4 linked regions of the Arabidopsis thaliana genome follow. The protein of the gene in region 2 interacts with the protein of the main gene of each other region in a pairwise test. Each region holds a gene or a part of one and is shown on either strand. Other genes may lie near its edges.

What was found.
Region 1: the proteins of TET2 (region 2) and NHL1 interact in a protein complementation assay, tested with the Arabidopsis thaliana proteins (one large-scale study listed by BioGRID).
Region 3: the proteins of TET2 (region 2) and AT3G01360 interact in a protein complementation assay, tested with the Arabidopsis thaliana proteins (one large-scale study listed by BioGRID).
Region 4: the proteins of TET2 (region 2) and GONST5 interact in a protein complementation assay, tested with the Arabidopsis thaliana proteins (one large-scale study listed by BioGRID).

The regions. Positions count from the first base shown.
Region 1 is NC_003074.8:3,677,247-3,683,038, forward strand, and holds NHL1 (NDR1/HIN1-like 1), read right to left. Parts: upstream 2,698-5,792; 5' UTR 2,415-2,697; coding exon 1,785-2,414; 3' UTR 1,349-1,784; downstream 1-1,348. Other genes in the region: DGD1 (UDP-Glycosyltransferase superfamily protein), read right to left, coding at 3,844-4,354, 4,437-4,786, 4,888-5,154, 5,255-5,736. UniProt on the Arabidopsis thaliana protein: May play a role in plant immunity.
Region 2 is NC_003071.7:8,470,919-8,476,867, forward strand, and holds TET2 (tetraspanin2), read right to left. Parts: upstream 4,236-5,949; 5' UTR 4,104-4,235; coding exon 3,910-4,103; intron 3,825-3,909; coding exon 3,518-3,824; exon of another isoform or gene 2,687-3,517; intron 1,787-2,686; coding exon 1,475-1,786; 3' UTR 1,216-1,474; downstream 1-1,215. Other genes in the region: CDA1 (cytidine deaminase 1), read right to left, coding at 1-585; ACO1 (ACC oxidase 1), read right to left, coding at 5,321-5,906. UniProt on the Arabidopsis thaliana protein: May be involved in the regulation of cell differentiation.
Region 3 is NC_003074.8:133,903-140,609, forward strand, and holds AT3G01360 (plant viral-response family protein (DUF716)), read right to left. Parts: upstream 4,830-6,707; coding exon 3,870-4,829; 3' UTR 3,868-3,869; exon of another isoform or gene 3,692-3,867; intron 3,659-3,691; 3' UTR 3,559-3,658; coding exon of another isoform or gene 2,676-3,558; 3' UTR 2,592-2,675; downstream 1-2,591. Other genes in the region: AT3G01350 (Major facilitator superfamily protein), read left to right, coding at 1,122-1,176, 1,273-1,490, 2,056-2,591, 2,676-3,558; CFM2 (CRM family member 2), read left to right, coding at 5,131-5,820, 5,954-6,461, 6,548-6,678.
Region 4 is NC_003070.9:7,675,434-7,681,143, reverse strand, and holds GONST5 (golgi nucleotide sugar transporter 5), read right to left. Parts: upstream 2,937-5,710; coding exon 2,823-2,936; intron 2,727-2,822; coding exon 2,477-2,726; intron 2,382-2,476; coding exon 2,174-2,381; intron 1,992-2,173; coding exon 1,760-1,991; intron 1,669-1,759; coding exon 1,447-1,668; 3' UTR 1,301-1,446; downstream 1-1,300. Other genes in the region: LYM1 (lysm domain GPI-anchored protein 1 precursor), read right to left, coding at 1-455; AT1G21866 (Plant thionin family protein), read right to left, coding at 3,364-3,645; AT1G21864 (Plant thionin family protein), read right to left, coding at 5,298-5,579. UniProt on the Arabidopsis thaliana protein: GDP-mannose transporter that may be involved in the import of GDP-mannose from the cytoplasm into the Golgi lumen.

The sequences.
Region 1 (5,792 bases), on a different chromosome or scaffold from region 2:
ATTATTTGCTATTTTGTTGTTGTTATTGATAGATAACCAAGATCGGTTATACTTAACCAACGGTTTAATTTTTTGAAAAAGAAGTGCCGTTACGTTTTGAATGTGGTCAGAGCTTTTTCAGCAATCGAGAAGCATTTCAAATGTAAAGGTTTAATAATTAAACGTCTAGCCACTATTGTTACTAAAAAGAAACAATTTATTTAGTGTGCAGCTCCATAAAACTAGGTTTAAGTAGGCGTTATTTTCAAGTTTGTTTCTCAATGCTAAGGAAGAAAGTAGGAATATGTAAAATGTGATGAGTGATATCCCAAATTGTAGAAGGCTTATCCCAAATTCGGCCCAACATAAAATAGTGTAGCCCGTTAGTAGACGAACATAAAGACGCTACTAAAACCCTAGTTTCATGGAACTACACTAAATATAGTCATGAACACATAAACTCAAAATGTCTAAGATAGAGATCATAATTATTAACATTTTTAAAACACTTAATTTGTTTGAATGAAGAATTATATTACAAATAGTTGATCAGTATTATTTTGAGATAGATCCACTGCATATGTAATCAATATTGATTCATTCCAAATATGCATGCACTGATGCACGCACTATTGATCAATGATCAACTATCTAAAGTTTCCGTTGTTGTAAATTATTTTTAAGTTAGGTAGCAAAGGCCATTTTTCAGAAAATTATGTGAGTTTGGCTGAGCATTACTCGGACGTTCTAGTGCCTTTGTGTGAACAGCACACACAGCACGTTCATAACCACTTTATTTTTATTGAAAATCAAAGGAAATCCAAAGTTAGGTTTCTCAACTTTATTTGAGATAGAAGTATGGAACGTTGCTTATATACTACTATATATCATGTGACTGATATCCAAAGTCTTATTGGTGACTGACTTTTTTCGTCTAACGTTTCTTATATTATTTTCATTCCCAACTTAGATAATAAGTTTTAAAGGACCATATTCCCCTTTAATTTCTTTGGTCAATTTCATGGACCACATTATAAGTTAAATGAATGGAAATGCAGATAAACGAGAAATAAGTCTCTAGACCGGATTCTGATTTTCACAATTCAAGATCCAAGAATATTCACGGTAATCCAAGAATATCCACGATAATATCCACGATAATATCCACGGATTCTAAATTCTTGTAAGTAACGTTATGTATTAACTTTATTTCAATGTAGCAAAACTCTAGGAGAATGGGCTTTTAAAGTGCACGAAAAACATTTTTTTAAGCCAGACACCAACAAATAGAACTTATCTATAAATCCATAGATGTGACTAAAAATAATCCAATCCACAAAATTTATCTTTTTGAAATGTCTTATTTGTTGTAGAATAGTCTCTATATAAAATGCATCTCTCTATTTAATTTAATAAAAAGATGGAGACAAATGGACAATGACACCATCACACAACGTCCACAAAACATTAACGAGCCTAATCTATTCAACTAAAAATTAATCTCCATCGCCATCAAACTTTACCATATACATAAGAAAAAGTCATCAAAAGTCGATTTGACAGGATCAGAAGATGCATCAAAATCAGCAAAAAAAATACTTCGAAAAAATCATCACAACTTATAATAGAATTTAGAATTCAACTATAATAAAAAAAAAGTATACATATTGAAATTCTTAAAATTCGTTACAACATCACGAATCTGTAATATTTGCTATTCGTATAAGCAAAATGTACAATTCACATCACTAAGACAGATTACTTAACGAAGACGTTTAGTTACCTTATTTTTCTTCGTCGCCGTTTCACACACTAACACTACAACTAGTGGTAAACGTATACTTAACGGCGTTGTCTCCGACGATAACTCCGTTAGCTTTGTTACCGAAGTTTATATATGCTGGACACTTCACATGAAGATGATACTTCCCGGTGATAAAAGTCCCAACCTTCCACCTCACTCTACCATCAGCACGAATGATCAACAAAACGACACCGTTATCTTTATCGGTGTCAAGACTAACGCCGTTAAAAGGAGCGATGGGAACGGAGGTTCCGTAAACAAACGGCGACCAGATGTCGACATCTTTGTGTCCCTGATACGTGGGAGGGATTGATGTTGGGAAAGTGATTTGTTGGCTCCGGTAAGTAGCGTAGACGTCAAGCCGGTCGTAGTAAATGCCGATTTTGTTGTTAGGGTTCCGGGAAGAGAGAGTGATTTGGAAGTTGGAGGTGAGGAGGTTCGGTGGATTGCCGGAGACGTTGAAGGCGTAGACGGTGGCGTCTTGGAGGATGAAGCGTGGCTTTGATGGTTGGAGAATTGCCCAAATGAGGAGGATTGTTAGGAAGATGATGAAGAGGACGAAGATTATTGACCAAAATATTCGCCTTATTAGTTTCCGGCGAGAGTGGCCGTGGTTTTCACAGTCTTTCATGGTGGTTGTTTTTTTTCTTTCTCCGACGGTGAGTGGTGGTGGTGGGGAGAAGGTGGAGAAGTTGTTAAGAGATTTTTTGTTTTAGTGATGGCTCTAAATAATGGGCTAATTATATGTAGGATTTATAGGAGTGTGATAGGGAAATAAAGGTATTCTCATATTATAAACTATAATAATTCTCCCTAATATTAAAGGTATTCTTTAAAAAAAAAAATTGTAATCAAAACAAAGACCCTTTTAAAGAAACAAGTATTCTACATTTTTATTTTCCATTTAATCACAACAATATATTTTTAAAAATCATGCTAACCTTCTTACATAAAATTTATGTTGTGATATATTTATTGTTAACTGTCATTTTGTATTCTCTATAATTCATTTTGTTTTTTTCCTACATTTATATAAATGTTGAAAATTTATGAATGCGTGATTGATGTGGTCGGTGCAAGTGTTCTTTAGAAAGGTGACTTTATGTGTGGTCGAAGAATTTTTCATCGGCTCCCCTCCAACCATAATAAGCAATTCAACTAGCTAGTTATAATTTCACTTTCAGCTTCACGATATATAAAAAATTCATTATCAGTAGATTCTCTAGTGTGAAATCAAACTACATATATAGTAACTTGCTTGTTTCAAACAGTAATTTGTGTTTGTTAAATTTGATTTTTCCATGATCATGGAACTCGGATTTGTACCATCCCTCAAAATAAAAAGTTCAGAAATTTGGAGCTGTCACATGGGTAAATGAGTTTTCACTACAAATTATTAGTCCATTTGTGATACGAATTTATAGACCAATCTAACTTTTTATTTATTTAATGATCATATATTGCGTATACATGTGTGGATTAATAATTTGATAGAGATTGAAAGAAAGTTCAATTTATCCACGTAATTTCCAATACAGAAAAAGAGGACGTAAGTGACCTAACACTAGTTGCCAAAGCAGAAACCACCACTTTTTCCATCATTTTCCTTGTCGTGTTACGTTGATTAACTACTCTAAATATTCTGTAATTTTGGAGAGAAAGTATTAGACGGGGCACTAATTTCTCTATCGGTATCGGTCGACATATATTTGGTCTAGTCGTGATTAAAGTAGTTTTCGAAATTTTAGACAATAGCGATATTAATAGGGAGGGTTCTTTTCATCTTTGGCGTAAAAAAAGGGGAATAGCTTGAATTCGTGAAACAAAAGAACAAAATCACGAAAACGGCCTTCATAGTTCATATTTTTGCCAATATAGTTATTTTATATATCATCAAATACGCTTCGTATTGATATTTTACAAAAAGACATCTAATAATAATCTACCCTTTCTATTAACAAACAAACGACCTACAACAACTGTAAAAGTAAAAAAGGATAACAATAACGTAGTGGTTTAATAAGTCACAAGCAATAACTGGGTGGCCTATGGGGAAATATCTACCAGCCGAAGATTGGCTTGTGAACGTGAGGTGGTACGAGATTCAGATCCTTGCAATGTTGATTATCATAGTCTTTTGTTCTTGGTGTTGCTCCAGTGCATAGTCTCAAGAAATCGTTCCCTGTTAGAACATAGTGTGAGAATGCCAATCCTCCATCGACCACCTCGTTAAAGCTCGGAACCGATCTTGATTTTCGCATCTTCCTTCCTCCCTCTCCATTGTTTAAGATCTTATCGAGATCTGAATACTCCATGAACCTCTGTGTTGCTGCTTCCCAAGAGAGATTGTACATTTGTTCAGGAGTGAGAGGTAGTGGCTCTTTCGTCATTGCTTCTTGCACTTTGGACACAAAGTCTTCGGATGTTTTGTAAGTTAAGCAGTTCGGGAATGATCTAAAGAATTCGTTTGAAGGGTGATCTGCACACACCACAAACTTCCCCATGGCTAGTGCTTCTGCGGTTGCTGTGCATAGAACATCGCTGATGCTGGGGTTTATGAACACTTTGTACCTTCATCAAGATGTGGGAAAGACAATCAAAGAGCGAAACCTTAACAAGTTTTTAAAAGCAAAGCACATTTTTCAGAACTTACTTGTGAAGAGCATCGTCAGCGTGGTCCCTTCCTTTGAGGAAATTGAGATTCAAGTCATGTTTCTTTGCTGCACGTTGGACCTCGACTGCATCTTCACCGTTCCCATATACATCTAGATTGAAGCTCCCAAGTTCGCTTTTGTGTTTAGCCATCAGATCTATTAGTTCTCTGTATCCTTTAGCCCACACCATTTTTCCTAAGAAGTATGCACCTTTTGAGAAAGCTTGTTCACCACGGGATCTCTCTTCAGCAATTTTCTCCCCAATCATAAGGAACTTGGGATTGACACCATGGACATTGCATACAACAGACTTTGGTAAATCTTGTGTTGCCGCAGAGAGGCGAAGAACCTTTCATGAGTAGAAAATATGTATTAGCTCGTGTACTATTTATTAGTAAAGAGGATTCAAGCAACAGAACAAGGCTTGAAGAAATAGAGTAGATGATTCACCTTGTCACAATACGCTCGTGTGACCCAATTGTTTACATGGTTCACAAAAAATGCTTGAAGAGCTCCATTCTTCTCCCTCTTGATGTACTCTAAGTAGTTTGTGTGGACAATTCCAACAACATGGTTGAATTTATCAGTCCAACGCTTGCCGTGATAATACCAGTTGAGATGTTCAGGTTCTTCAAGTATAGCAATGTCAGCATCTTTTGACGATATAAATTGAGAAGTGTCACCAGCAGGAAATATGCTGCGCCTTTCTTTTGAAAACTATAAGAAACCAGAAAGCTCAGTTACTCTATAGAAATAATTGAAAAACATATTGGCAGCCATAGAAATAAAAAAATAGAATCCAAAATGATCAACATACCTTTCCTGGGTAAAAGGAGATTTTAAAATCAGCCTTGAAACCAATCCTTTCCTCCAACCATTTACGTATATAACTCTCTTGTTCTTCAGGTGAGCTGAAGGTGAGATTGTTTGGATACACTAGTTCTTGATCAGATTCGCAGAGCCAAGGAACCACGAGAGTAACACTCTGTTTTGCAGCTTTTGCCAAATACGCCGCTCTGAATAGCGGATTTACAGCTGTTCCGGTCATCCAAGGAAGACTAGCTGTTGTAACAATTGCCACATGCCTTTTGTTTTCCGGTGTCTCAGGCTTCACAAAATCAGTCCAAAACCCACCATCATAATGGTGTCCTGTGCTTTGAAGAACACTGGCTATCCTCATATCCAAATCAACTCCATGGTTATCATTTTCAATTAAATCGGATGCTTGTGCAGATGGCAGACGCCAAAGTTGTTGGCTCTTGCATTTGCAAAGGCTTTCTACTATTCGGTCACATGTATCTGAAAGAAAATTCAGCAGAACAGAATCAGGAACTTTGTATGTAAACACTGAAACT
Region 2 (5,949 bases):
TTGTTTCAAATCGGCGGATGAATCGGTGTTTCCGTTACAAATCGAATCCAGATCTGAGATTTTGAGATGGTTATCGTGAGATTCGAGAAGAAGAGGATGATCTTTCCCGAGAAGATCGTCGGGACCGAATCTGTGTGGCAAGAAGCTTCCGAGACGTAAGAATCCGTCTGAATCGGCGGCGGAATCGGAATCGGCGGAGTTGTTTGGATCGGTGATAAGGATTTTGATTTCAGGTGCGTCGCGAATTTCTTGGAGGAATTGACGGCAATGGCCACATGGTGCGGCGGAGACGGCGAAGAAATTGAGATGACGTTCACCGTTGAGTGTGAGATTGGTGACGAGGAACTGTTCGGCGTGGATTGAGTGGTGGAGAGGGAGATTTGGGAATTCGACATTGACGCCTAAGAAGATCCGACCTGATGATCCGAGTCCGACGACTGCGACGTTGAATTTCGAAATCGGAGTTCGAGCGTAGGATTGTGCTGGTTTGACTAGCGACGGGAGGAGCTGAATGACGGAAACGCCGAGTTGTTTCGCGGCGGATTCTGCTTCTTTGGATTGGATTACGAAGCTTGGCTTATCCATTGCGGGTTGATCCGGTTTGGGTCGCGTAAATGGGTCGGGTTATTTTTAGATGGGAGAGATCCGGGAAATGAGGAATTATGAAATGGATGCTGGACAAACAAACTATTTATAGATACAACAACGTAGGAAACTACATTACGCAAATGAAGTTTTGGTTCGGTTTCGGTTATGTTTCGGTTTACGTTTGGTACAAAATAGAAAAATTATATCAGAATTGAATTTACAAATAATATGATTTCGGTTTGACTAAGCCGCATGGAATCATTGTTATGAAAACTACCAAAAATGCAATAGAGTATTAGTGTAACGTAATGTTAAAATCGTGGTCTAATTAAGAAAACACCTAGTAGTTTCATCAACCACGTTACGAAACTACAATAATCTCCGGATAATATTATTTTAGAGGTCAGAAATGAATTAAACTATAGCTAAAAGACAGCTTAGTTTCATATAATTTTGATAGTATTAAACATTTTAATTCCGGTGTTGTCAATTTTAAGTTCCCAAAAAAATAGTTAAGAACAAAGGTGATAGTACTATTGTTGACAAAAGAAAACAAAGATTAGGTTTTGTTCTTATCGTTGGAATCAACGTCACAGACCAAAAGAGAAGTCTTTGTTGATAATTACGTTTTAACCAACGGTTAAGTTTTTCTTAATAGAAGAAACTGAGAAAACTCTATGACAACAATCAGTTTTCCAATTAGGGTCAGTTGTTTGTTTACATAGATAAGTGCCATTTTGTCGAACATAAACTGATAAACATAGAAACAAAATCCATAAAAAGAAAAAAACCTTTTCCACACACAAAGAAATCATAATATGACGAGCTATTTCCGAAAACTCCAATCTCAACAAACTACAAACAAATTTATAGACACAAACACATTTTAGACCCAACCTTGTTTGTATTTGCGGAAGAGATCCTCAGTCTGAGCATTCCTAAACGCGCTACAAGCAATAACATAAACCCATATGAGAACAACGACTGTGATGATAAGTATGAGATTTGCTTTACGCCATTCTTTTCTAAGGTTTCCCAATAAACCAGCTTTGCATGAGTTGCAATTGTAACAAAGCTGGCTTTGGTCATTGCTCCATAAGTAACAGTCTGCGTCTGCAGCCATATTGGTTGGATTTAGCCACAGTGTTGGGTTCACAAAGTTGTAGCCACATGCGGTTGGTGGTTTGCAGCAGCCGGACTGTAAAACAACAAATGTTCAAGAAATTGTCATAATTAGATTTGACCAAATATATGCTTAACCATGTTTTCAAATATGATAATCATAGTCTTAAAGATATTTACACTTTTTTTTTATTGGTAAAAAATATTTACACATTGTAAACACAAACGCTACCATTTGCGTCTGCCCTTTGTGTTTACAACAAAAATTTCATTTTGCTTAACATGGTTAATATTATGGGTTCATGTGGAGAAAAAAAAAGTATATACTAAAGGCAAACACAAACAATCAAGAGTTCAAGAGTCAAGACCTAAAACAATGAAACACTAGTTTTAGTCTGAAAGCTATAAAAATAAAACGACTACAAGAAACCTAAAAAATTGCTTGCTTGGTATGAAAGTACATAAAAAAAATGAAAAAACATGTTGAATCTTATCACAGAATAATCTTCTTTTACTTATGAGTAAATTTTGGTTCTGTCTCGAGGACGAGAAATTGTATAACTCTTTCTTAGAAATAAACTTATTTTTTCTTGAGTCCTAATTTATCCAATAAGAAAAATTATAATGTGAGTGGGGCAACATGGGAGGGATATAATTATCTATTATGTTTCATGATGGAGACAAAGACTTGTGATCGTAATTATTGAATCAAATCATTGGTCCAATATTTAATAATGTCTAATGACTAAAAGATTTAAAATTCAGTCGAGACCTCAGCATCTAGGCTTATTTAATTATTAGTGGTTCCAATCTTGTTACAGTGACAATGGACTAGGATGACAACTTGCTATAGAAGTTTTAGGAATAAAATTATTTAAATCACCCTTAATCTCTCCATGTTTAAAGCTTAAAAGACATAAAAGACATGACAATGAATTTTAAGAGTGATTTTAATTAATAAAATTAAATAGAAAAAGTAGGAAATTTTGTCAAGTTTGAGTTGTGATCACGAAAAACACTATCTAAAGTGAATGGGATCATTGAATTTTATGAGTGAGATAGTGACAAAGGAAAAATATAATTAATACACAGATAAAACATAGTTTATCATGTACCATATTGTGGGTGCATGGGTGGGTCCTTATGATAGTGTATAATTTTGAAATCTGACTATCTTACTATATAATCTTGTGGACTTGGTCTCCAGCAACTTCTACACCAGTCTACTAGGAATAAATATGTGTTCAATAATGGTGATTACATATGCCTAATCTATGAGTTTTACCACAAAATGGCACTAACTGCGAAACGTTAAGAAAGCTAATGTAGGTTTCTCTCCAACACTAGAAAACATAAGATTAATTAAGTCAGAAAATATTTTTTTAGTTTTTTCAAAGATGAGGAAATCCAAAACGAAATAACTTAAAGCTGCAAAACAAAAAAAAAGAATATAGAGAATAAGAACAATTCTCTTTTGGACATCTTCACAAAAGCTAAAGAGAAATTTTTTAACTTTTTGATTTAAAACCACATACTTTACTTTTTGAAAGAAAAAATAACCTATCTTTCTATGGCAAGAACAAACCGTAGGTCTCACATAATCTAGAGATTTTACAAAACATTCTCTTTACTTCGTATCTTATCTCCATTAATCATCTAATAATATCTAATTAAACCCACAATGATTCGTTGGCATAGTTGCATAACCGATATTTAGTCTAGATTTACCTCTAAACCAAACCTAAACCGGAAACTAGAAATTTCGGGGTTCTTTTTATAAAAGAGAATAAAAGAAGAAAGAACATGCCTGGAGAGGAGTGATCTTAGAGGAGGAGAAGAACTGATCGGCGGTGATGAATTCTTGGTTGAGTTTAGGACAAACATTAGTATCAGCCAAACAAGCCCTTAGCCTTCCCCAGTTCTTGGAATCCACAACGTTCTCCTTAAGCCAATTCGAGAACCCTTCAAGCCTATACTCTTTATAACCTCTACCCGGAACCCGATACGATCCATCGGGCCGGGTCACGACGAATGCAAATATAAGAACCACCAGCAAAAGTCCGATCAATATCGCCATACAGCACAAGTAAACCGCCAGTAGAGTTTCCTTGTACCTGAAATATGAGAGCTCAAAGTTTACATCTTTATGATTCAATTTGTGTCTATGTTTTCAAAGTCTTGAAGTTCTTTGATTCTTACTTGTAGGCGCCGATGAAGCCTGTGGCGGAGACGACGAGGATGAGAACGCCGAGGACGACAACGGGCCAACGGAGGAGATTGACACACTCGTTGTCTGGCTTTGAAGCTAGCCATATACCTGACGCCGTTATTGGTATGGAACAGAGTAACGCTAGTAAGTTGAGTATCGCCGTTAAGTTATTCGCTAACGCCATTAAATTTTCTCTCTCTCTCTCTCTTTGTTCTTGAAGATTCGTGCTTTTTATGGAAAGAAAATGAAATAATGAGAGTGAGAGGAGTGTCTCTGTTTTTGTCTTAATGACTTATGAGGTCGGTGGTTAGAGATGATGGGATGTGTGAAACCAGTTACTGCTATTTACAGAAAACGATGTTCGGTTTGGTCCGGTCCGGTTAATCACTGATTTTGCTGATTTGGATTTTTCGACAACGGTGGTTTTAAGAAAAAAGAATTAGATATTGGATTAAAGTTAACATGTGAATGTCAGAATAAAATATGTTTAGCAATGAAAAGTTAGGTTTTGAACAAGTTTTGGGTTGTGATGTAATAAAGAGAACTTGTTAATCTGGTCGGACCGGCTTTTGGTTTAGAATTTGGAATCTTGAACGGGACACGTGGATACGCGAGATGCCTTTTGTGTTAATATTCTTCCATTCTGCGAGTTACCGAATGCATCAACCAGTGAGAACTATCCACGTGGCACCGACGACTTTGGGTCATTTGCATTGAACGTATGTTACTTTCGACAGAGAATGCAAAATGGAGTAAGTTCCATTGTTCGGAAATCGGAATTTTCTTCTTTTCCAAGCATTAGAGGTTTCGGAGCAGGATTTGTCGTTGGCTGATGAGTGAAATGTCGGGTAATGGTCAAGAGATAAGCTTTTGTTTTGGTTCAGAGGATTGGGATTGCACACAAGCTGCTCGATAGAATGTGTGAACCAAAACATATGGATGAATTTTTCTCATCTCGATTTTATTGCGATTGGAGAAGAATTTTGAGTCAATACACACTTAGCTTTCAGTTTTAGATGCTGATATAGAAATGCTATTTGTTTGATTCTAGGAATTGGGAAGGAAATGAGTCAAATCAGAGAGAATATGGAAAGAGATGATGGCGGAGTTGTGGATTACGTTAAGAGTTGAATTACATCTTATAAATCATGAAATTGACTGTCAATCTTAGAGCTTAGATTACAAGCTCTTTGTCTAATCTCAAGTTCGACACAGAGCTTGATGAGACTGCTTCAGTTTGGCTTTGGAACTTTTCAAGTGGAAGTGAAGAAAGAAGAGTGAAGTAGTATAGCTGAATCAGCAAGATTCTGACATGGCTGGTTATTTAAATTATAAGGAAACACAAGAAGAAGACAAAGTTTTTATGATGTGAGTACAGAAGCGTCAAATTCCAGATGCATCCTAGGCTGAATCCGCATTTCCCATTTTCTTCATGGTCTCAAGTCTGGGGCCTTTGTCTCCAAACTTGGTAGTTGAATAAAGCTTTAGGTAGTCTTGAAAACGGTAGCCACTTGGATACAAGAGCTTTGGAGCTGGAGATATTATGGCATCACCAGCCGGATTGTAAAACGTAGCAATCGACAGTCTACTTCCATGCTTCACTGTCATTACACGGTGAACAACACTCTTGTACCTCCCATTACTCAGTATCTCTAGTTGATCACCGGTATTGACAAAAATGGTATTGTTCTTGGATGGCGGTATAGGAACCCACTTCCCATCTTTAAAGAACTCAAGACCAGGCACTTGATCATCCTGCAGGAGTAATATGATTCCCCCAGCATCCGTATGTTCTCTCAGCCCTCTCATAAGCTCAGGACGTGGGCATTCTGGGTATTTAGCCACTTTTGTTCCAAAAGCTGGACCTTTTGGACCAGAAAAGGCATTCATTATGTCTTCCTGATCAAGACCAAGATTCTCACACATGAGCTTGGAGAGTCTCTCTGCAAACTTGTGCAGTTGACAAACATATTCATCCATCGTCTTGCTGCAAATATCAATTTCACCCTCTCACATTGTTTAGTTAAATA
Region 3 (6,707 bases), on a different chromosome or scaffold from region 2:
AAGAACAACCTTGTATAAGGAAAAAGAATCGCAAAAAAGGGAATGCGAAAATTATGTATATAAAAGAGTATCAAATACGCCAAATGTAAATGAAAGGAACATATAACTTTAATTATAGTTATTTCTTTTTCATATTGTACAAGGGTGAAGGATGAATTCAATGTAGCTAACAGATAGAAAGCTAAGAGCTAGATGGTCCATTTTAGTGATATATACTGCATGATTTTGCATTTTATCGACATATTTATAAAAAATTTCCTCTTTTTCTTTCTTTTGTAAAATACGTTAAACCTCAATTTAATTAAAAGGGTGTTGACCTATAAAAAAACTAAAGGGTAAGAGATATATAATAGACTTAATAGTGTTTAATTATAATAGAACAAATCTGCAAAAAAAAATGGTTTGCGCAACGGTTATTAAAGATATAATTCAAACTAGGGTGCATACAAACCTATTGAATTTCCTAATCTACTTAAACCAGGTTTCATTTAAACCATTTTCATGAAACTTTCCAATTCACATATTTCTTTAAGAATTCAATTAGTTAGTTTATTTTGGTTGACATCTACAATGAGTGTTTTTTTCCCCTACATAAAACTCCATCATTTGGTAAAAAAAACTTTTACTAGCTTGTACCTTTCTTCGTTAAATGTTTAATTTTCACTTTTTAACTCATCCGTATTTTACAAACGAAGAGAATAAAAATCAATTTGAAGTGTATATTTGGCTATATACAGTTTTAGTTTAATTCGTATAAAATTGGAAAACACATCTTTTGAAGAAACAGAAGAAGCATGGTAAGAAAAGAAGGAAAAACTATTTAATAAATACATAAATCCACCCACATAGGTGTGGAGACAAAGATATAGAATTCCAAATATGGAAATTAATCTCTGCCATTAGTGGAAGTTAATTCTCATAACACCGAAAAGCTAACGATTTTCAACTTTTTTTTTTTGTTACTCAGAAGATTTTAAACCTTTATAAATACGAAAAAACCAATCTCACAAATCATCAACAATCACCTTGATCTCCACTCTCTTACATATAAATAACCAAATAATTTCTCTCCCCTCTTCTCTCTACACACATAGACAATAAACACATAAAGACAGTTTCTAATGGATTTAGAACAGAAGACAAGAGGACTTAGCAAGTCATGTGCCCTTCTCATAGGTAAATGATTTCCTCTCTTCTTTTTGTTCGTTTGTTTCAAAGATTCAAAACTTCACTGAAACTAAAGATTGAACTTTTGTTTTTCTGTGTGTATAGTGATTGCGGGAATGGAGAGATATGCATTCAAAGGAGTTGCATCAAACTTAGTGACATATCTAACAGATGTAGTGAAGATGAGTAATTCAAGAGCAGCCAAAACTGTTAACACTTGGGCTGGTTTCACTTCTATGTTGCCTCTCTTCTCTGCTCCTTTGGCTGATACTTATTGGGACAGATTCTTCACCATCCTTGCTTCTTCTTCCGTCTACTTTGTGGTAAGTAGAATCAAGTGTTAACTAAGTGCTGAAACTCTCCTCCACCGTCAGACAATAACGGTCAGGCGGTGAGGGAATGTTGCTTTTATTTATCTTATTTTATAATCGCGTTGTTAATAGAATTGGTTATATTTTGATAATGTTTTGGCCTTCTATTAGATGTCTATGTATATGCTTGATTAAGCAGTCATTAAGTGATAAACTGATAATGGGTATTAACTTGTGCAAGAAAAACTGGTTTAGACGATATATCTAAGGAAGTTATAAGTTAGGTGTTGGGTCATTTTCCGAGTTAAGGAATAGATCAAGTAGACCATCTTAAAGAGTCTTTAAGAAATTAGATACTTGGTCACCGTCCGATTAGAAATTTTCTTTTACCACTAATGGAGTTTATATGGATCCCTTTAATAGTTGGGTTGATAATGGAATTTTGATTAGAATGTTGATATAGTGCTTATAATGGGTCTTATCGGATCTTATAGGCGAAAAAGCTAGCTTAGTGGAAACTCGAAAATCTTCTTTTGTTAGTAGTTTTTAATATATTATTTCTGTTTTTTCTTTGAAGGGACTAGTGGGATTGACATGGACGGCATTTGCTGGGTCACGTTCAGCTACTAAGACTATCTCTTCTTACTTTCTCTACTCTTCACTATGTCTTGTCTCAATCGGTTTAGGCGTCTTAAACCCTTCTCTTCAAGCCTTTGGTGCAGACCAACTCGACCACGACCTCGATAAGAATTTCGATCTTTCCTCGGGTGATCAAAAGGACGCGAAAGCTACCCGAAAGACTCAGTTTTTCCAATTGTGGTACTTTGGCGTCTGCACCGGCAGCCTTATGGGTGTCACAGTCATGGCTTATATTCAAGACACTTTTGGTTGGGTTCTCGGTTTCGCCATTCCTGGTATCGTGATATTCCTGTCGATTTTGGTGTTCATGTCGGGTTGTGGAATTTATGTTTATGCTCCGGGCGCCCGTCTGAAGAAGAAAACAACTACTACACCTTTTGAGAAGATTCTTAAATTCATTAAAGGGAGAGTAGTGAAGCAGAGAAGCATATATACACTTGCAGATGAGAAAGATTTGGATGCTATGGAGCTTGAGTAAGTTCGGAAAAACCACGATATCTCATGAAACTAATTAGTCTTTTAAGTTTTTTAGCGACTAATGATTACCTGTTTATGTAGGCTAGAGGAGAGGCCTCTCTGTAAATGTGAGACCGAAGACATTGAGACTCCTTCAACAACCTCCAAAGGATTGGAAGATGACGAGAGCTCGAAAACGGTTTTCTCTGGAATTGATAATGTTAAGTTAGTGATTCGCCTTTTCCCCATATGGATGATGCTTCTCATGTTCGCGGTTATCTTCCAGCTACCAGCAACCTTTTTCACCAAACAAGGTGTGACTATGAAGAGAAACATTGGGTCCAACTTCAAAATCCCACCTGCAACCCTGCAAAGCACGATCACATTATCAATCATCCTGCTTATGCCATTATATGATAAGATTTTGATACCTATTACCAAGAGAATCAAGAAAAACGGTACAGGTATCTCTGTGATGGAGAGAATGGGAGTCGGAATGTTTCTATCCATCATTGCCATTGTTATTGCGGCAATAGTCGAAAGGAAAAGACTAGCCATAAGCCAAAAGATGAAGACTTTACCTGATTATGATCCAGAAACCGTCCCACTGAGCATCTTCTGGCTGCTGCCTCAGTACATCCTCTTGGGAATCTCAGATATATTCACAGTCGTTGGGATGCAAGAGTTTTTCTACAGTGAGGTTCCTGTAAGAATGAGAACAATGGGATTTGCTCTCTACACAAGTGTTTTTGGTGTTGGAAGCTTTGTGAGCGCCGCACTGATCTCAATTGTCGAGGCTTACTCGAGCTCAACAGGTGACCGACAAAACTGGTTTGCAGATGATATGTCGGAAGCTCGGCTTGACAAATACTACTGGCTTCTTGCTCTTACAAGTACAATAAGCTTTGTAGTCTACATATTTCTATGCAAGTTTTTCAAGAGTAGCAGTGATCAAGGCGATGAAAAAGAAGAAGCCCCTAAATGAAAGAAGAAAAACTTTGATTCCTTTGACACAGTCGACTTAGATAACCGTTTGCCATAAGATTCCACGAATGATCTAACTGTAGTAGTAGCTTTAGAACTAACTAGCAAACCAAAAGAGATAGACAACTGTAAGATTTTTATTCATAAGAAACAGTATCTTATAATATCAAATGCAAAAGATTCAACATTATTATTATCTCGTGTGTTTGATTACATATCATCATTAATCCTCCCATTGACCAACAACATTTCTAAAATGGACAGATTCAAAACAGACAAAAAAAAAAAAGTCTGAAACTTTGATTTATACCTTTAATCATGTGAGCTGTTTCCATTGAGACCAACTTCTTTAGCTACGTTGCTCTCTTCTCGAACCTCGTCTTCTTCATCAGAGTCAAGTGTGAAAGTACTTAAATTCTCCAACTCAGCTCCGAGAGGTCGATATTTAGAATGATCTTGACGGAGATAACCATTCTTGTTAGCAATGACAGAGAACAAACCAGTAGCCACAACTACCATTAGAGCCAAATGACAGTTAAATTGAAGAGTAGCTATAGCTTTTGCTCGGTGATAATCACCGTGTCCTTTGCACTTGATCGTGAAATTGCCTCTGCTCTTCTCGTGAAACGTACAGTTATTAGTGATCAAACCGGTAAAAAACGATACACCCATTTGCAGAAACCATGTTCCTTGCAGAATCAGACCGATCCCACGACCTAATTTCGCAAACCGATGCGTGCTAGAGTCGGATTTGAGCTCAAAAACCGTGGAGAAGACGCAGATGGCAATGGGCACGAGCATGAGATCGTAATAACGATTCTCGATTCCAGAAACATCTTTCTTTTGCAGGTAGAACATTAAGAACTCCTCAATGAAGCCAAAGAGAAGCAATAAAGTTGTAATCGAAGACGGAAGTGCAACAAAGACAGCGTTTTTGGAGTTGACCAGATATGTTAGAATGGCGTAATATAGGAATAGTACTGCCACTGCCACGATCTGTAACTGGATCATTGACCCGACCCGATCGCGAGATCCGATTGAGCTGAAGAAGGAGAAAAACGAGTTCGCAATAAACAGAGACGAAAGCAAAGCTACGGGGATGGAAGATGATCCAACAGATTTTGGCGGCGAAGCTCTGATCTGAGCCATAGGGGAAGATGAATCAGCAGTACCAGAAGATGAATTCGGATCCAGGTTCGATGAGTCCAGTGACTCCCACGCGCCGATTACTGCAAATCCACCGCCGGCGACGGCGTAACTTAATATACCCATGACTCCAATCTTCACAATCTCTGCGAATCAGGTTATACTTCTTTCGAGGAAATTTGGATTTTTCCGCCATTAAAGCTTAACAGAATCGAGCTTCTGATCTGATAAACCGGAAAGATCCGACCCGACCCGAATAACCCAAAATGGGATAGGCTAGTAGCCCAATAACTCAATATGGGCCTACTGGGGTCTTCAAATAGTTCATGTTTAAATATTCTAACCATCACGTGACAATCATGTGACCTCTATGGATATGCTGCTGCTGCATATAGCTCCGCTTGCGTAATCCAGTTTGCTTGGAGAAATGTTGCTTCCACTGTTTCACCAGCAACCATTGATACTTGCCAAAACCTTTCCCGATCGAATTTTCCCGCCATTCCTTGTTCCCAACACCCTAGTTTCGCGACGCAATGTCAGTCGAGCGAACTCCGGCATCTTCTGTAGTTCTGCTTCCGGTCGAAAGACTCTTCCCCAATCGGCTATCCAGAGAATCGCTGAGAAGCTTCGTAGCCTTGGATTCGTGGAAGAGAAGCATGATTCACCGACTAGGAGAATCACGGGAGAAGAATCTGGTAAGAATTCCCCAGGAGAGATATTCGTTCCGTTGCCTAAGCAGCTTCCGATTCACCGGGTCGGGCACACGATTGACACAAGCTGGAGCACGCCTAGTTACCCGGTTCCGAAGCCCGGGTCGGGTACTGCCATTTCAAGGTACCATGAGTTGAAGAGAGTGTGGAAGAAGGAAACGGAGATGGAGAGGAAGAAGGAGGAGAAGGTTCCGTCGTTGGCGGAATTGACATTGCCGCCGGCGGAGCTGAGGCGGTTGAGGACGGTGGGGATTAGGTTGACGAAGAAGCTGAAGATTGGCAAGGCTGGGATTACGGAAGGGATTGTGAATGGGATTCACGAGAGATGGAGGACGACGGAGGTTGTGAAGATTTTCTGCGAAGATATTTCCAGAATGAACATGAAACGGACCCATGACGTCTTGGAGGTTTGTTTGCCTCTCTACTTTTGATTTCATGATAGGGATTTGATAGTAACATTTGACTCTCAATGAAAGATCTATGAACATGTCAACAAATGGCACAGACGGAAATTCATACTTGTCCTGGTTGATTTTACAGACAAAAACTGGAGGCTTAGTCATTTGGAGGTCTGGAAGCAAAATATTGTTGTATAGAGGGGTAAATTATCAGTACCCTTATTTTGTATCTGATCGGGATTTGGCACATGAAGCTGCTTCAGGAGCATCATCTATGGATCAAGGAGTGGTTGATAGTAGAGAGAAACAGAGTATTGCAGAATCTTCTGCCCCGAGTATTACTAATAAAATGGTTAAACCGATGTTGACGCAAGGCGTTGGTTCTCCGGATAAGGTTAGGTTTCAATTACCCGGGGAAGTACAGCTTGTAGAAGAAGCAGACCGTTTGTTGGAAGGATTGGGTCCAAGATTTACTGACTGGTGGGCATATGATCCCCTTCCCGTAGATGGTGATCTTCTGCCAGCCGTAGTACCTGACTACAGGAGACCATTTCGCCTTCTTCCATATGGCGTCAGTCCAAAACTAACTGATGATGAAATGACCACAATAAGGAGACTTGGTAGACCACTCCCTTGTCATTTTGCTTTAGGTAAGCTTGGTTTCACCTGATTTTAGCTTCATTTAGACACGAAAAGATTGTTAACTTATTCTGGCTTACCTTTTCGAGACTTCCAGGTAGGAATAGAAATTTGCAGGGACTAGCTGTTGCAATTGTCAAGCTTTGGGAGAAATGTGAGCTTGCCAAGATAGCAGTGAAGAGAGGAGTTCAGAACACTAATAGTGAGCTGATGGCCGAAGAGTTAAAGGTTGTTGGTTTACTTCTAGTGATCAAAGT
Region 4 (5,710 bases), on a different chromosome or scaffold from region 2:
CCAACATCAAGCAGCGACGGGTCATTCACCGAGTTAGCTTCCTGGATCTGCTCAGCAGAGACCAAGCCTCCGTAAACAGAGTCAGCAATCGATCCTAGATTGTCAGAAGGTCGGGTTTTGTAATGGGTAGAGACAGATTTTCTGATTCCGTCGACGCAGGAGCAAGTGATTGGGATTTTGAGGAAGAGCTTCGAAGGAAGGATATGGTTTTCGACGTCTGGGTAAGAGATATCGATGGCGTTAGCTAAAAGGATAGAGATTGGGTCTACTTGGAAGAGAGATGCGACTTCTGAGACTTTGAGGTCGGTGTAGAGTGTGTAGCCGAGTAAAGCGTTGCAAGTGTCGTTGCTTGAGCAAGGCTCGATTGTTGATTTCGCTGTCGCTGTGAAGGTTAAGCTCGAAGCTAGGATCAAAGAGACGAAGATTAAGAAGATGGGTTTTTCTGGGATTTTCATTTTTGTGTTTAGGGTTTTACGAAATTCAAAATCTCCTAGGGTTTTCAATTTCTCTTACAGGACAATGACAGAGAGTACAGTGAACAGAGTTTAGTTTGGTCTATGGAAGATGAATCTGGAGATTTTTCCAGGGGTTTGGTAGAGAGAGAATCTCTCTGTATCTCTGGTTTTCTTCTTCTAGAAAGAGAAGAAAAGTTTCACCCTTTTTGAAATGGAGAGAGAGAAGAGAAGAGAGGAAGAAGGAGACAAGTGTGTTGTACAGAGTGAACAGAAAACGGTAGCTTTGCGATCTCCAAGACACAGACATCTTTTTATGCTGTTTGACTGTTTTGCCCTTTTCTCTTTAACTCCTTTGACCTGGTTTCAGACTACTGTAGCATGAAGATTTTTTGAAAATTGATTTTTTGTAAGGGAAGGATATGGCGGTAAATTCAGCAACATAAGTTGAGGCCCACTTGAAAAAGCCCATTTTTTACTTTTGAGAAGCTAAAGCAACGAATTTGATGAGCTGTTTTGAGAGCTAAAATATTCGTTTCCCTTAAACACCGTCTTAAGCTCTTTCATGTATCAAGGCGGGAAAATGAATAATCATTTCTTATATATTGTCAAATTAACTTTCTATTTTCATCTTCTTTCAAAGATTCCCAAACTTGCACCATTTTGTCATGTATTAAGTCTCTGATGTTAGAACATGGCACTATGGCACAAACAAAATTGGAAGGAAAAATTAAAAAGCTGAGGTAAGTGAAAGCACTACCATAATTGAATACAAAAATGGGCCTGCTTTAAGTATCTTTGTGGTCATCTCTGAGTTGGTTTGATGAGGATAGATAATTTAATACAATGGAAACAAATAAAATGGCACTTCTCTAACTTCTCTAGTTTGAGTAAAAATAAACATATAGTTAAACTATAACTCTCTTGTGGATGTTCAAGATCAAATCTAACTTCTTTGTGTGCGTTCAATAGTCTAGTGACTTACCGATGATATTCAAATTTTACTCTCGAGTTTATCATTAACAAGAGGGATCAGTTCCATCTTGTTCCTTGGGGTACGAGGAGTCCTAGGAGTTCCGGGTTGTTGCTGAGAAAGCATGTGTCTTACATATCCGTAAAAGGTGCAGCCCACAAGTGTGATTCCGCAGCCAACAGCATTCATCGGTGATATCGGGTTTCGAAATATCATCCATGAAACAAACACAGCTACTGCAACCTGCAAATCACATACCATCCATCAAACATCTGAGTTATTGAAACTAGAATATAAAGATTAATGTTATGTGGTTTGGGATTTGTTCATTTACCTTAAGGTTTCCAGCTACATTGAATGTGACTGCTGTTGTGGATTGAATGACATAGAAGATGGAGAAGTTAAGACAGAAAGCTAGAACACCTGAGTTGAAAAGAATTATGAGAGCCGACCATGGAGATGGATGTGCTTCAAACCAATCCAAAATTCCATTCCTTTCTAGTAAAAATGCAGGTAACCCGAGAATCATGGTCGCGAAAGGCGCCATATAGTATACCGTGTTTATGCTACATAGAGAGACATGAAAATGAGGAGGACACAAACACTCAGTTCCATGAAATATGAAAAAGCAAATCAAGTATTGGACTATGAGAGCATGGCATGTCATTGAAACCAAATGTAAGTTTCACACATTCAACACCTATCATGTGAAACTGAAGATCAAAACCTCAGGAAACAGAACATTGACCTGTCAAATTTGTATCCATGAAGAAGAGATTCTGCAAGAATGGTCTTTGTAGAGGTAGCTAAACATCCAAACAAAGCAGCACAGAATCCAAACACATTAAAGCTAAGTTCTGTAATAGAAGTAAGAAGAATCCCTCCAACAATAGGCACCAATGACGCCCAAATACGCCAATCAAAATATTTCCTCCATACCAACCACTGTAACACAACTGCACTCAAAAAACCATTACACAAAAACCAATCAGAACAATAAAAAAAAATCACTTTATTTTGAAAAATTCTCAATCTTAAAAAAACCCTAAACCTGTTGTTGCAGGAGTTAAAGATTTGATAGTCTGCATAAAAGAGACAGGAATGTATCTAAGACTAATATTCCCCAACACAATGTTGATACAGAACACAAATGACATTGGAAAAATCCTCCTCCACCTATCTTCTGGATCAACCACAATCAAAGGTTTAAGCTTTAAGACTTTAATCACAATGTATGCTCCAATCGACGAACATATGAAATGAACACATGAAACTGATAATGGAAACTTGAAATCCAGTTTCTGCAAACAAGGAAAGGTACCAAATTTCAAACGCAGATCAGATAAAACAAACGAAAGGCTAAGTCTTTAATGATAAAAGTAAGAGACTTTTTAAACCTGAAAGATCCATTTGTTCATGATGATAACAGTAACGTTAAAACCCCACCATTGAAGAATCGATAACAGAGATCTGAACATAGTCCATTGACGCCACAGACTTCCTTCCTCCATTGATGGGTTTTAAGAAGTGAGTCAGAGAAGGATCCAAAAGATGAAACCTTTAGGAATGTGGCAATGCAAAAGCTAAATAAGAAACCCTAATTAAAGCGCCAAGAGAAACAGAGTAACGGTTCTGTTTTATATGCGAGAATTCTCTTTTTCTCTTTAGTAAGTTTCCGTGTAGTTAAATGCAAATATGTTTATGCAGCATAAATTATGCTTATACAAGTTACCAATTTTCAGTTGTTACATATATAAATATAAATAATTAGATTTTTAACAAATTTTCCGTATACAAGTAAATATTGTTAAAGATAAAAAATTATGGAAGAAGGATACATAAATACTTGAAATATTGATCGATACATTGATACAAAAAATCATAAATATATAACTTATGCATAGAGAAAGGAGACAAATTTTTTGTAATGTGGATCAATTAAGCGGTACAAATCCAGCTAAATGCTCTGCAGAACCTTTTTATAGGACCACCATTACCTCGAGGGACGATGTATCGCTCGTTGTTGAGAGGATCACATATAATCTTGCAAGGGTTGGCACATATGGCTGGAGTCGCTTTCTTTGATGCTTTCATGCACTGGTTCACGACACAATTTTTGACACACACATCTATCGAGTTGGAATGAGCTGAAAACATCATTGCAAATAAAATTACAATCATCAATACACTGCAGATTTTCTTTGACACTTGAGTTGCCATGTCGTAAGTATTGTGAGTCTGAAAATCTTAAATTGTAATGTTTTTTTTCTTTCTTTTTTCTTTTTGTTGTGGTTTTGAAACAAGATGATTTGGTGAGAATGTTGTGTTGATTATATAGTAAAAATAGTTTTAGCTGATTTTAGAAGTAACTAACTATTAGGAGGTCAACTTGTTTTCGTTTCTTTTTCTTGGCAAATATATCGATTGATTTCTGGACAACTTATATGTATTATACTGTTTTGGTCATCTAAACAACTATTTGCATGCTATGCATAAATATAGTAACACTAATTGCTCATATTTAAAATATTAGCCTGTACAACACATATCTTAGTGGCATTTTCTTCTTAAAATTCGTGACCACGTTTTTGTTACGAAAATCGTAATATGCACATGACATGGTAAAGAATACATACCGTTAACAAGGAATGATTACCTTTCACTGTACATAATTTTTTAAGATCATTGAATTTATCATTGGACACTAAAAATCTTTCCTTTTTTAAAAATGAAAAATAACAATTCCACCAAAAGTATCCTAAAAACTCAATGCCTAACTAAATCACATTGTTATTTTTCATGTGATTTAAATATTTTGGCGATCATCGGGGTACATTCTTTCTTTCAAACCTATAGTTTTTCTTAAATATGGTGAAAGATTCATCAGGAACAAAAAGAATACGTAATCCTTTTGTTTTGTCTATAATTTTTGAGTTGAATACATATATATATATATATAAGTAGGAAATTATGTACATTTGTTTATAAGAAAACGTAAGGAAAATATGTACTTTTGTTTATGAATAAGTAAGAGGTTCTAGATACATACAATACACTAAGGCGGATTAGATCATTTAATATGACTCCTCCCAGGTAAATATGTACATTTGTAAACATAATTTTCTTTCATATTGTCTTTATCGTCATTTTCCTCCATGAAAACACAATAAACTTTTTTTTCATAAAATCTATAAATTCAAGACTAATATAATTTGATTGAAAGTATTTATTTTAAAAATAAAATCCATATTTGTTTAACATCTTCAGTTTTTTCCATAAAATTATTAAATTCAAATGCCTACATAATTCTTTTTTACAACTCTATATTCTCAGCTTTCTTTCTAAAACAGTTGCACTTGTTGTAAACATGATATATATATATATATATATATATATATATATTTTTGAATATAATTTAACATTATGTTCAAAAAAAATTAGCTATACAAATTATGGAAACTTAATGCCTAACTAAATCACATTAACATCATATATTTTAGTTATTTTATTTTTAAACTATATTGTTTCAACTTTATTGGCGTTTATAACTTAAAATTTGTTTCATAATAAGTTTTGGTTATGTTTTTCAATGTAGATGTTTGGTTAAAAATTTAGTTTTTTTTAATGTCTTCACGAATAAAAAATCATAGCATATTAATAAAAAGAAAAACAGAAATTAATTGTAATTATTTTAATTTGTCTGAAAAACTTTAAACAAATATAATTTGAAAATGAGGGAGTATTAGGTATAATAAAATTATGGAAGAAGGATACATAAGTACTTGAAATATGGATCAATACAATGATACAAAAAAACATAAATATATAATATATGCATAAAGAAAGGAGACAATTTTTGTAATGTCGATCAATTACGCGCTACAAATCCAGCTAAATGCTCTGCAGAACCTTTTTATAGGACCACCATTACCTCGAGGGACGATGTATCGCTCGTTGTTGAGAGGATCACATATAATCTTGCAAGGGTTGTCACATATAGCTGGAGTCGCTTTCTTTGATGCTTTCATGCACTGGTTCACGCCACAATTTTTGACACACACATCTATCGAGTTGGAATGAGCTGAAAACATCATTGCAAATAAAATTACAATCATCAATACACGACAAATTTTCTTTGACACTTGAACTGCCATGTCGTAAGTATTGTGAGTCTGCAAATCTTAAATTGTAATGTTTTTGGTGAAACGAGATGATTTGGTGAGAATGTTGGTTGATGTGGATGATTTATATAGTAAATATAGTTTTAGCTGATTTTAGAAGTAAC